Linked DNA regions of Oryzias latipes. The protein of the gene in region 3 purifies or fractionates together with the protein of the main gene of each other region. This does not show direct contact. Links are inferred from orthologs where the notes say so. Each region holds a gene or a part of one and is shown on either strand. Other genes may lie near its edges. The genes, in order: ppp1r11, ppp1r7 and ubxn2a.

What was found.
Region 1: the proteins of ubxn2a (region 3) and ppp1r11 purify together in Homo sapiens (affinity purification with mass spectrometry; 3 studies listed by BioGRID and IntAct, counting the BioPlex papers as one, with this or other methods). This does not show direct contact. The link is inferred for Oryzias latipes from reciprocal best matches to the Homo sapiens genes UBXN2A and PPP1R11.
Region 2: the proteins of ubxn2a (region 3) and ppp1r7 purify together in Homo sapiens (affinity purification with mass spectrometry; 3 studies listed by BioGRID and IntAct, counting the BioPlex papers as one, with this or other methods). This does not show direct contact. The link is inferred for Oryzias latipes from reciprocal best matches to the Homo sapiens genes UBXN2A and PPP1R7.

Annotation. Positions count from the first base shown.
Region 1 is NC_019869.2:21,521,677-21,525,816, forward strand, and holds the start of ppp1r11 (E3 ubiquitin-protein ligase PPP1R11), read right to left. Parts: upstream 2,807-4,140; 5' UTR 2,554-2,806; coding exon 2,473-2,553; intron 1-2,472. Other genes in the region: vars2 (valine--tRNA ligase, mitochondrial), read left to right, coding at 3,514-3,720, 4,017-4,098. UniProt on the Homo sapiens protein: Atypical E3 ubiquitin-protein ligase which ubiquitinates TLR2 at 'Lys-754' leading to its degradation by the proteasome.
Region 2 is NC_019875.2:24,810,002-24,813,377, reverse strand, and holds the end of ppp1r7 (protein phosphatase 1 regulatory subunit 7), read right to left. Parts: coding exon 3,290-3,376; intron 3,183-3,289; coding exon 3,096-3,182; intron 2,614-3,095; coding exon 2,437-2,613; 3' UTR 620-2,436; downstream 1-619. UniProt on the Homo sapiens protein: Regulatory subunit of protein phosphatase 1.
Region 3 is NC_019882.2:2,952,815-2,956,924, forward strand, and holds the start of ubxn2a (UBX domain-containing protein 2A), read left to right. Parts: upstream 1-1,192; 5' UTR 1,193-1,317; intron 1,318-1,660; 5' UTR 1,661-1,679; coding exon 1,680-1,717; intron 1,718-2,009; coding exon 2,010-2,121; intron 2,122-4,110. UniProt on the Homo sapiens protein: Acts to repress the ubiquitination and subsequent endoplasmic reticulum-associated degradation of CHRNA3 by the STUB1-VCP-UBXN2A complex in cortical neurons.

The DNA.
Region 1 (4,140 bases), on a different chromosome or scaffold from region 3:
GTCCTGCATGAAAGCACTATGAAGTGCTTGTGTGTACTAAACACGCCATACAAATTGAATTGCTTTGCTATTAGGGTTCTCTGTGATATCAGCCTGCAGCCACTGGACTCAAAGCAGCACGGCTTCCTGAAGTGAGAAATCACGCCTGGAAATCTGATAGAAAAACTAGTTAGAAAAATTGAAAATTTGGTGGAGAGTTTTTTTTTTACATTTTTTTTATAGGAGCTGGGTCCAAATCCCAAAGGAACCTACTCACAGAACATGATTTGTTCTGTGACGAAAGCATCTGACCCCCAAGAACAGGGGTAAAGCATGTTTAAACTTTCCTGACTTTAACCCTGAACTCTGGCTGAAATCCGCCTGAACTTGCTTACTCTGGGTATGTCGGTTCCAAAAGACCGGATATGAGTTGGCGTAATTACGCTCGACTTGGTAACCCTGGGTTAATGCTCGTGCACCTCAAGTACAGAAAGACATTCTCAGTGGATCGCCGATTTCCGGAGTCACCATGGAAACGCGTGGAGAAAAAAGAGAGAGCTATACTTCAGTGAGACTGAGTCTGAGATTTTAATGAAGGGGTAGATTATACGGCCATCAAAAGGCACTACGGGTGCATCGGAACGGTGGACAAATCAAACGTGTGTGTATATATATATATATCCCGTAGGAAAAAGAAAATGTTTCTTTTTGGGAACGGTATCCCACAATTCCTTGCGGTGCCGATTTAACAGCAGCACCAAAGTTACACCTACTTAATTGAATTAATTTGAATGAAAGTAAACTAACTGTTTGATAACTATGTGTTATTTTTAAGATGACCTAAATACATAATTTATCTTAACTGAAGCAAAATATTAAGTTAGATTAATGTAAAAAAGTTTATCTCTACAACATCCATACGTGGTCTTATCACCCTCTCTCGTGGAAAAAGAATTATCTGAGCTTCTTCATCCACTAAATCATCTTCAAATGGACACGTCATGCTGCTTCACCTCTCTGAAAACAAACTAACCTTCAACTAAACCTGCTCCAGACCAGGTTATGTTTAGAGCATAAGTTGCCATAGCAACTTGACATACCTTGAAACATACCTCCTTTTTTGGAACAGAAAGCTGAGGTTATCCGCTTCCTTAGCCTCAAATTTACAGTGGTAACTAGCATAACCTGCTTTCTGGAACACACCCCAGTTCACTCTCAAATCTTGAACACACAACATCTGGCCTGTTTACATGGGTGAGCCATGGTACCGTTCTCTGGACTTCTGGCCCACATTTTTGGTACAATTGTGCCATGAACACAAAACGCAATAAAGGAATTTGACAACACATAGGGACCCATCAGTCCTGTGTACAGGGCAAACATGAAACTTATGCCGCTCATGTTATGTAGCCCCTTCTGGTTAGCTTAATCTCTTCTGTCCTCAAAAAGTTAATCTGAAATCACAACAAAGTATCAAAACCTTTTCTTTAAAGAATTTGGGTGAGCTTTCACACTTGCCAAACAAAACATACCGTACAGGTTAACCAACTCAGAACAAACCTGCAAATCTGTGTTTGCAAGCAGACCAGGGTTCAAACAATGACCAAAAGTCCCAGTGTTCACGTGTTCCAAAAGGGTTTTTGCTCTTCCAGATTAATTCTAAAATTCTAACTACCTGTCTAAAGAGCGAATGCACAACTGAGATGTGAAATCTGCAAAAAAGCAAACAGCAAATCTTTTTAGTTCAATGGGCTGAGGGGGCCCTTCATGGCCCCCATTTATTCATCTACTACAGGGCTGCCCAATCCTGGTCCTCAGAACCCACCTACCATCCTGCTTGTTTTCCAGTTTTTTCTGCTGATACGCTGACTTAGGCGTCTCCTCCTTCTGACTGACTGAACACACCTGCAGGGAGAGCTGGAACACAGGCAGGGTGTCAAATCTCGATGACCGGGATTGGGCAGCTCTGATCTAGCACATCCCCACGGATGCTTGACTAGATTACAATTTTGGGAAACTTGAAAGGCAAAGCCATCATCTACAAATCTAATGACAGCCCATCTGACTTTAACAACTGAAACACTTGCTTTAGTACTTGGAGCCATATTCTCTGATGGCTACACTAAAATGGCTGTGCATATTTTAACCCAATCCAATATGTCGTAAAGTCCAAATATATTTGACTAAGCTGCTACTCGTCCTTAGTTTTTGTTGCCAGTGTGGTGCTATAAATAAAGAATTCCTAAATAAATGCACAGAAAGAAGTGATAATTCCACCAAAATATGCTAATTCCAAACCCATTCGTGGCTACAGTGATGCCCCACACACAATTAGCTCGATAATTAAGCCGGGAGGCCTTGTGAAGAGACTCCATCCTTCTCCAAGTCAGAGGCGGACTACAGACGTAGCAGCTTGGCCTCGCAGAGCCGCCGTCATAAACACAACACAACAAGAAGACCCTGAGCCGAACCATCCCACGATCCTTTCTTTACCTGCTGCTGCTGCGTCGGGGGGCTGGTCTGGACAGTCTCTGTGATGGTTTCACTTGATGTCCCTGGTGGAACCTCCGCCATCCTGTAGCAGCGCTGCTAACTAGCCCGTTAGCCTCCTCTCAGAACCGAACCAGCCACCGCCCCTAGCAACGGATATGACGCTGTACCGGCGACAAAGACGGAGCGAAATAAAGAAACACGGGTTTAAAAAGGTAGCAATGTAAGCTTAACTTGGCAAATGTCCCAGCAGAGCTGTAGTGCACCCGATTCAAGTTACACAACAAGTAAGCTCAGACTCAAACGGAAGAGACATTTGGCAACAGGAACTGGGCTGCCGTTTTTCAAAATAAACTGCCCAGTGTCTTGCATTTTCATGTTTACGCCCAGACCGGAGAAGACATTTCCTGACCCTACCTTCATAGACTGGAGATGCACGATTGTCGTGGTCGTCCCCCACCCCCACCCCCCAGCAAGTTAGCTAGCACCAAGTTTGAAGTGTTTTCTTAAATACGTCGACGATTGAATCATACGACCCGATCCGATTTTACGTTTACCGACTGTTGTAAATGTGCTTTTTTCCCCCATTCAGTTAACGTTATCATCAAAGACTATTAAAAATTTACATAAGATCCTGTAGACGCAGGGACTTCTTCTGTGAATGTGTTAAAAAGCTAAGTAAAAAAATCACAAGCAAAATATTTCACGATTCATTTTATTTTGAAAAATGACTTTTGTTTATATCAGTGGGGAGTGATTTTACAAACGTACTATTTGTCGACGGTATATCCGGTCCGTCTGGTATTTTTGTCCCCACTCTCAAACGAGAACCAATCGAATCGGAAGTGATAGGCGTTTAAATAATACTTGTTGTTTTGTTTTTTGTTTTTTTGCTGTTTTGAAAGCTTATTTGGCTTTGATGGTGATTTTCAAATCTCCAATAAGTTTGCGACATGGTGACTATTAATTTGTGGTTATAATGAAGCTCTCAGCTGTTTGGCAGCTCCCGCTTTCGTGGTTTCCGGTTTTGACACGGAGGTAAAGATGTGGAGGACAGCGTGTCTGTCCGGCGTGAGGCGGGCGGTAAAAACTCCGTCTCGGCTCTGTTCTGTTTCGCCACAGGGTCTGTCATGTCCCCTGTCTTGTCACTACTTCCTCTCCTCCTCTTCTTCCACTACGCGGCCCCGCGCGGAAAAACGGAGACGGAGACTGGAGCGAGAGGAGGTCATCCTGTCAGCCGAGCAGCAGCCGGTATGCTGGAGAGGTCTTATCCAATGGATGTTAAGAAAGGAAATTAAGGAATAGATGTTAAGAAAAAATCAAGGAATTTGCCAGTCTCTTTTTAAACTTTTTTTGGTGTGTGATTTACTTCCCCTCCTACCGTTTTGGTGCAAAAATCAGTGACATCGTTTTTTAAAGTTCTTTGCAGGGAGACACCTGGAAACCAGCCTGGCTTAGATATAAGAGTCAATGGTTTTGGAGCTTGTCTGTGAAATAAATGTCAATATTGGTCCATCTGTGCTAATATAACTTTTTGCCTCTTTTAGGGTGGTGAAGGTAAAGTGGAAAAATGGAGCCAAACACAGGAGGTCGTTTACAGAGACCTAACACCTCCTGGGATGAAGAAAGGTGACTCCAAATGTCTTTTATTTTATTTATTTTTTGCTGTTG
Region 2 (3,376 bases), on a different chromosome or scaffold from region 3:
GTGACAAAATATGTAACTGTTTCTTCATGGGTAATGCCAATAAAATCAGCTCTGCTGGTCATTCCACAAAGCAAAATAAGACTTGAAAAGTGTAATGATAACGGTTTGAAGACCCTCTCCAATGAAAATCGTGCACTTGGTGTTTGAAATACATATATAAAATGGTTTAAGATCAGAACTGCATTTCTGAGTACTTCTTTGTTCAAATATAGATGGATTATGAACAGATAAAAAAATGCAATTAAAAAAAAGTTACATAGCTAGTTTTTAAACTTTAGGTATTAATGCCAAGAAAGCTTAACATAAAAAAAACCTGATGTGACAAAAGCTGTCTAAACGAGGTTTATTTTAAATGCTCACAACTTTGTGGATTTAACCAATTTGAGAAACATACTATAGTAAAAATATAGCACAGAAAATATTACTACAGATTTCATTCATATAATGTACATAAAAGTCAGTTGTGCACCTTCTACACAATATTAAGCTCTTATCGGTACCAATGTCAATCAAATAAGGTCAGAATTTTGATCTTTGTCACAAATTAAGGCATAATCATAAACCTAAATGTCAAATTAGGCTTCAAAATATCTTTGACAATATAAAACCACACAAAAACTTGCCCTTTCATAAGTGTCACTTTATTATTTGCATAATACATTCAGTTCAAAAACAGCATTAAATAAGTAAAAAAAATTTGAAACTAAGATAAAAAGCTGAAAGCAGTTTCTGTAAATTCTCTTCGAGTTGCAACATCATCTTTATCTCAATTTTGACATCACACAAATTGGTTAGACTGATTGGCAGAAACAAACGTTTACAAAGGGAAGATGATAGCACAGGCTTAAGACGTGAGAGGTGTAATCTACAGGTTTTTAACTCCACGCTCTTATATTTCAGATTCCTAGGATCAGTTCCAAAATTTAAAATAAAAGGGCATATTCATCAGGCGTATTGGAAATGCATAACTGTCTTTAGGATAGTCTTTTAAAAAGCCCCACCTGTTATACATCTAAGAATTAAAGCAATAAATTGAGATTTAAATTTGAGTAGCTGATTTCCTTTTCCTAAAGTTCTAGGATACACAAACCCTTTTTTTTAATGTTTTGAAATGTCGAAGTGGTTCCAAATAAAATAGTGCACTTTCCACCTCTGCCTCTAGTGCATCTCTATATTAAGTGACCTCTCAGCTCAGAGTTGTTGAATCATTTCTACATAAAAAATGTCTTAAACTACATTATGAGCACTGAAGCATTCTACAATGAAGACTGCAGAAATACTGTTTCCAGCGAGTCAAACCAACATTAATGGGTCTACGATAAAAACACAGCATGAATACTTCAAACCAATTCTACAAGCCAAAAATGAGCATGGACTGGTTTATCTTACAATGGCTAAACAAGAGTTCAGTCCTGGAAGAAGAAGATCAAAACAAACAAACTCTACATTCAACTTGTGCTTCACAAATTGCATGTTCGAGTCTTTTCAAAAGCTGAGGTGAAACGAAGAAAAGCGTGTTCAAAACTAAAATGCAGCCACAAAAAAGACAAACCACTGAACCTAGAAGCACTGCATTGTTTTACATTCTCATACGCTTTATTTTCTTACAGAGTCGACTTTTTGTTCAGCAGGAAATGGATCTAGTAATCTGTGATCTCTTCAGGAAAAAACATGGACAAGGAGGTTGAACATCCAAATGTGCCCTTCATTGCTGCAGCCAGTTTATTAAAAGTTACACACTAGTACGTTTTTTTCCCCCCTTAAAGATAGATTTATGCAACCAATGAGGTGTAAATATGTAGTCTGTCTTAAGGCTTCATTGTGGACGTCTTACTGCTAAGTTTGATACCCTGCTCAAGAAATGTTAGAAATGAAGCAAAAACAAAACGTTATTAATAATATCCAACGAAGCAAATGTTAAGATTACATTTTAAACTACATGCAAACGGAAAAAAAAACAGCACAGAAATGAGAGCAGCATTTTCTTCCCCCAAAAGAAAAAATAAACATAACGGAGAAATCCTTACAATGACCATAATGACACGCCTAACCTGGGAATGATCATTATCCAATTTCAAGTATAGAGACTGCCTTCCTACGTTTTTGTTTTCATGGACACTGCCGGTTCGACTCTGTCTCCCAGATGAAGAGAAAAAAAGTGTGGAGGAAATATTAAAGTAGAGGGTAGTTGTTTTCATTTTCACAGTTGTGCCTTAATAAATAAAAGCTTCCACAGAGGAGCACAGATCAGGAGAAGAATGTGTGCATACGAGCATTTGCTCGGTGAGCCATAGATATGTTTTGGGATGGAATGTATATTTTACATGGAGTGACTGGGAAACGGAACGTTTCAAAACGTGTCGGAGAAGGTGGCGTGTGTGTGAGGGGGGGATGGGGGTGCACGGTGAGGTTGGATAGCGGCTGACGCGCTACAGTTTAGAATCGAATAAAGGTGGCGTCGATCTGGCGCACACTGGGCAAGGCCAGCATGATCTTTCTCCGATACTGAGGATCTTTCTGCAGCGGGTTTCTTTCAAGGTAGACTGTTTCCAGGGACTTGGCGTTCTTCAGCTCATCCAGATCTGACCAGTTTTCTATCTGGTTATCATTCATCTGTGGAGACATTTAACCAAAACACAACCATCAGTGCAATAGAAATAAACTAAGGCATTACCATTACCTGAAGTGCTGATTAAAAAAAGACACATATATACATATCATGTTTTTAACGTGTTCTTGTACATTTTCTAATGATGGGAGACACATGAAGACAATTAGGCTTAAAATTGCATATCTGATTAGTTCTCTATTCAAATCGCTGAGAATCAGGAGCAGATGAAAAAAGCTTGTAGTTGTGATCCAGGCGGCAGCAGCTAAAAGGGTTGAGAAAGTCGGCCGGCGATCGAAGGATCTGCGGTTCGATAAATTCCAAACATGATAAATTGTGTGGTCTTCTGAAGTAAGCAGGACCTGGAAGCTACCTGAAGAACCACACGCTCGCTCTCTTAGTACTAATATCACCATCTCACAGTAACAGACACATCAGTTAGCAGTGAATTTAGTCTGCAAACTAAAAAAATAAAAATGATGATTACCCAGAACTCCTGCAGTTCTGTCAGATGACTGATGTTCTCAATTTTCTTTACTCGATTGGCAGCAATATCCAGCGTTGTCAGCTTTTTCTGTAAAAAAAACAAACCAAAAAAAAGTTCAGCCTCACTTTATTCTTCAGCCTAAGAAAAGTAGTAGTAATTTTTCCTCTAAAGTTCTGTGAGAGAGTTCAACTCACATTGTTTTCCAGGCCTTCAATGACCTCGATGCCATTGTGACTCAGATAGAGTTCCTTCAGGTTGACAAGGTTCTGAAGCCCTTCTAT
Region 3 (4,110 bases):
TATATTAGATTTGCAGTCAGCTAAGACAGAACAGCAGCTGATCAGACTTCGCTCTCTGCAGTGTGCAGCCAGTGTTGCCAGATAGAGTCACAGTTTTCCAGCCCAAAAGTCATCTAAAAACCGCCAGACCCCGCAAAAACCCGCCCAACGGGGGGGAGGGGGGGGGAAATAAGATCAATATACAGCTTTTGTAGATTTTTTCCCCTACTGGACTGATTAAGTATCCGATGCGGTGATTTTTCAAAATAAAACATTTCTTAAAATCAAAGATAGTTCAGACTATTAATAAAAGGAGTACAGTATTGCGTATTTCTTCAGCGGACCGGCCTTCTTCCATTCATTTTCTTAACCCGCTATAACCTATGTATAACCTCTTCCATCCTTGTGCTGCGCTTGCGCCAAAGCGCCCCGACTACTACCGTGTCAACCTGCTGCTATGATGACCGTATTTTGCGCTCTCTGTGTTGGACACACTGGAGGAGCGCGGGGAAAACAACTCTGAGCTACAGAGGATGTGAACAGGTGAACAGGTAGAGAGGAAAAGCAGGCAGAGGGGCGGGGGAGGGGCTTTAGCTTCAAACTGTCAGAGAGATGGAAACAAACACGGGCGTCAGATTCACACGTAGCTTTCTCTGCGGGAGTTGAAGCAGAGACTTTCTGGGACGATCTCATGAACTCAAACATGGAAACATGATTACCAAGTAGAACTCTCCAAAATATTAAACCTGATCTCTCCACATTCTCCGTGTCTACCATGCATCGATACACACAGACATCCAGCCATCAGACCATAACGTTAGCTCGTAGCTCCGCCCACACGCGACCGCGGTGTCAGCTTTAATGAACGCAACATCTAAGAGGAGGGGCGGGGCGGCAAACCCCCAACAACAGGTTAGATGACAGAACCCATTAAGCGTCTCTACCTGGTGCGTTCACGGAGCTTCAGAACATAAGACTTCAACAGCCACCCAGCCTAAAGTAGTCCGTTATTATGTATTCATGAGTGTAAAAAACCCGCCGAACAGACCCTAAAACCGCCAAAATTATGCATACCCGCCCAAAGCTATTTTTACCCGCAAATTTAGAACAAAAACCGCCCAATTGGGCGGAAAACCGCCCAATCTGGCAACACTGTGTGCAGCCTCTCTCTGACTATCATCTGTTTCTGAAGTGCTGAGCTCAGCCTGCGCGCTGCCGGTTTCACGACAACTTGGCCCAGTTTCCGGCTCTCTGACGTCACAGGTCTTGCTCAGCAGAAGAGCAGCTGGTCGTAACTTGTGGCTGCGGATGTGCAGCCCGGGATTAACCTCGAAACTGGTAAATCGGAATGCGGCTTCAGTGTGGTAGAAAAACCTCCGCTGCGTTATTTAATCATTTATTTTTATTTATTTTTTTTATTTCTTAAAGCCGTGCTTTTATTGGGATCTGCGTCTGCGTGCTTGTCAATGTCAGTGACAAATAAAACGCCAGAATGATGAATGAGCGCGCGGCCAATTTCTTTAAAATTATCCTCGGTGACTTAATGTCACTCAGTGTGCAACATGCGAGATATTAGTAGTAATGTAATAATTATAATAATAAAAATAAAGGGCATCCCATAATACGCAGCGTGTTGTTTGTAGCTATAGGCCTCGTTCATTCCTGCATGTTTTATCTTCAGATGGTAAACGAACACCGTCATGAAAGAGAATGACACGGATGACAAAGATGATCAATGGTAAGTGTTTTCCTTAAAAAAAATCCACCACCCCCCCCCCATAAATAAATAAAGAATCAGTAAAAATAAATAAAAATGTAATTTTCCCATTTGCATGTGTGCGCTTGAACGTTTTGGATCATTAAACCTATCAAAATAGACTGCAGTTACACAATAATGTGGTATTAAGTGGAAGATCCACACTTGTAACTAATATTACAATAACACCATTTTCCACAGCCTCAGCCCTCTGATTACAAGTTACCCTTTAGGATACTTGCAGCTCATTATTCCACCTCTCCATTTGTTGAAGGGCTGCCGGTAAAGACGATGAGGAGGACGTCCCCATGAGCCGCAGTTTCTCGGTTGAAGACCTCCTCGATGAGGTGGAGAAGATCTGTTATGATGCTTCAGGGAATACCAAGGTCAGACTTTGTTCCCAGTTCTTTATTATGGGAGAAATGTTTGAAAAGTATAAGAGACGCTGCTGGATTTTCCACAAACATGCGTGGAGTGTCTTCACTTAGACATGTGTAGCTCAGTCATGTCCACAGAAAATATTATTTATTTATTTTCATCGTAATAAATGCATACATTGTAATTTTTTTAAGCATCATCTTCTGATCTGTTTTCTCCGTGCTCTTTCATTTATGATGATGTCGATTTTAGCCAAAATCAAAAATCCCGTGTCTTTTACTAGGACATAGTTACTGCAGAGCTACAGCACTTCATTAAAAATACTCCCCCGAGGTGTGGACCATCGATGTGGAGCAACCCCGGCCCCCTCTTCCCATCACCCGTTTGTTTACACACTCTCCTGCTGGCGTACAGCCCCAACACTAAAGGCCCGTACACACCGGGACGAATATTCGCCAGCGTTTTTCGCCACGTTTTTTGTGTTCACACCCAGGCGATTTTCGCTGACGATGAGCCGAGCGCTTAATGTAAACAGAAATACTCCTGTACACAAGGTGGCGCTGCGCAACTTTACGCTTCTTAAAGTCGCTTTTCGCTCAGAAGAAGAGAGCAAGTATTTACGCGCTTGTCAGAATCAAACAAAGAAAACATGAATATTTCAAGCATCAGTAGCTCCAACTGCTGCTTGGTTCGGGGATATTATAGAATGTCCGTCATTATTTCTTCGCGGCAGTGTAGACGCTACTTGACGTCTATCTTCTTCGCTGGTATGTGTGCTCAGCAAGGCAGTTTTGTGTTTGAGCGCCCCCAAGTTGTGTTTTACAGTAACTTCAGAAGCTCCAGACACGTGTGCAAAAGCGCCATTCTCATTGGTCGAATAGATTTCGACGCGACGCGTCGGAAAAAAAAAACGAACCCGAGGCGTTTTTTTTTTGACGCTTTGACGCGTGGCGTTTTTTCGCGTCGGTGTGCACACTCACATTGGTGCCCTTGGTTTAGTCACGAGGCGTTAAACGTCGGCGAAAATCGCGCGCGAAATTCGTCCCGGTGTGAACAGGCCTTAACATTACCGCTGCAGCAGAGCAGCGTTGGAGCTCTGCGGCGGTACAGTTTTTAAGACAGAAGTCAGCTCAAGACGTTCATGGATCTATTTGTCTGAAAGCGGATGCATTAGAACAAATCCAGGAACTTGTGGCCCCGCCCATGCAGCGTATTCTCTACGTCACCAATACAATCATTTTGAAACATTTTTTGTTGTTTGCTCCTGATTTACATTTATTTGAATTAAGAAATACTCAGAAAGGCAATTTTGAGCTTAATTGACTTTACACATCATCAAATAGCCAGAAAAAAATGTTAAAAATACAATTGTCATCAGAGTGGGTCTTTCATGTAGCATATGGTTTTGAATGGAAAGTGTGGAGTAATGCTTGTAGACTAATTTAGTCACACACAATTTCCATTTTTATGATTTATTCATCTAAATCTTTTGGGAAACGCTGAGCTCTCCCCGTCTACTCATAGCAGGACACCCGACCGCGTTACTCTGGATCCCCCATCCCTGGTCTTTTTCAGCTCTATCTGCTGCTGATCCACTGGATCAGGTCTGGGCAGGATCTAGAACCCCCTGATCCACATAATCTGCAGGGCGGAACTAAAAACACAGAATTCAGCAGTCCTGGCTTCTAACTTCTGCAGCGTAGAAGTTCTTGAAGTGAGGGCCATCTGGGTTTTTTTATTGATAAAAAATGCTATGGAGACTGTTGTGCATGCACCAAATACTCCTATTTATAGCTCCTGGAGTTCAACTCTTTGCAGCTTTTGTTTTTTGTCAACTAAATGTTGGAAAATGGTATCTCCAGAAAGAAAAAAAGCATCCGGGTGGTTTGGTTTAATCCAGAACCCAGCAGCGCACACCTTTGCACATGGCGAGGGCTGCTTCTACTGTTGCTCTAAGCTGAGCTCTGTTGAAGTGCCTTGAAGGAAAGCAGTGTCTA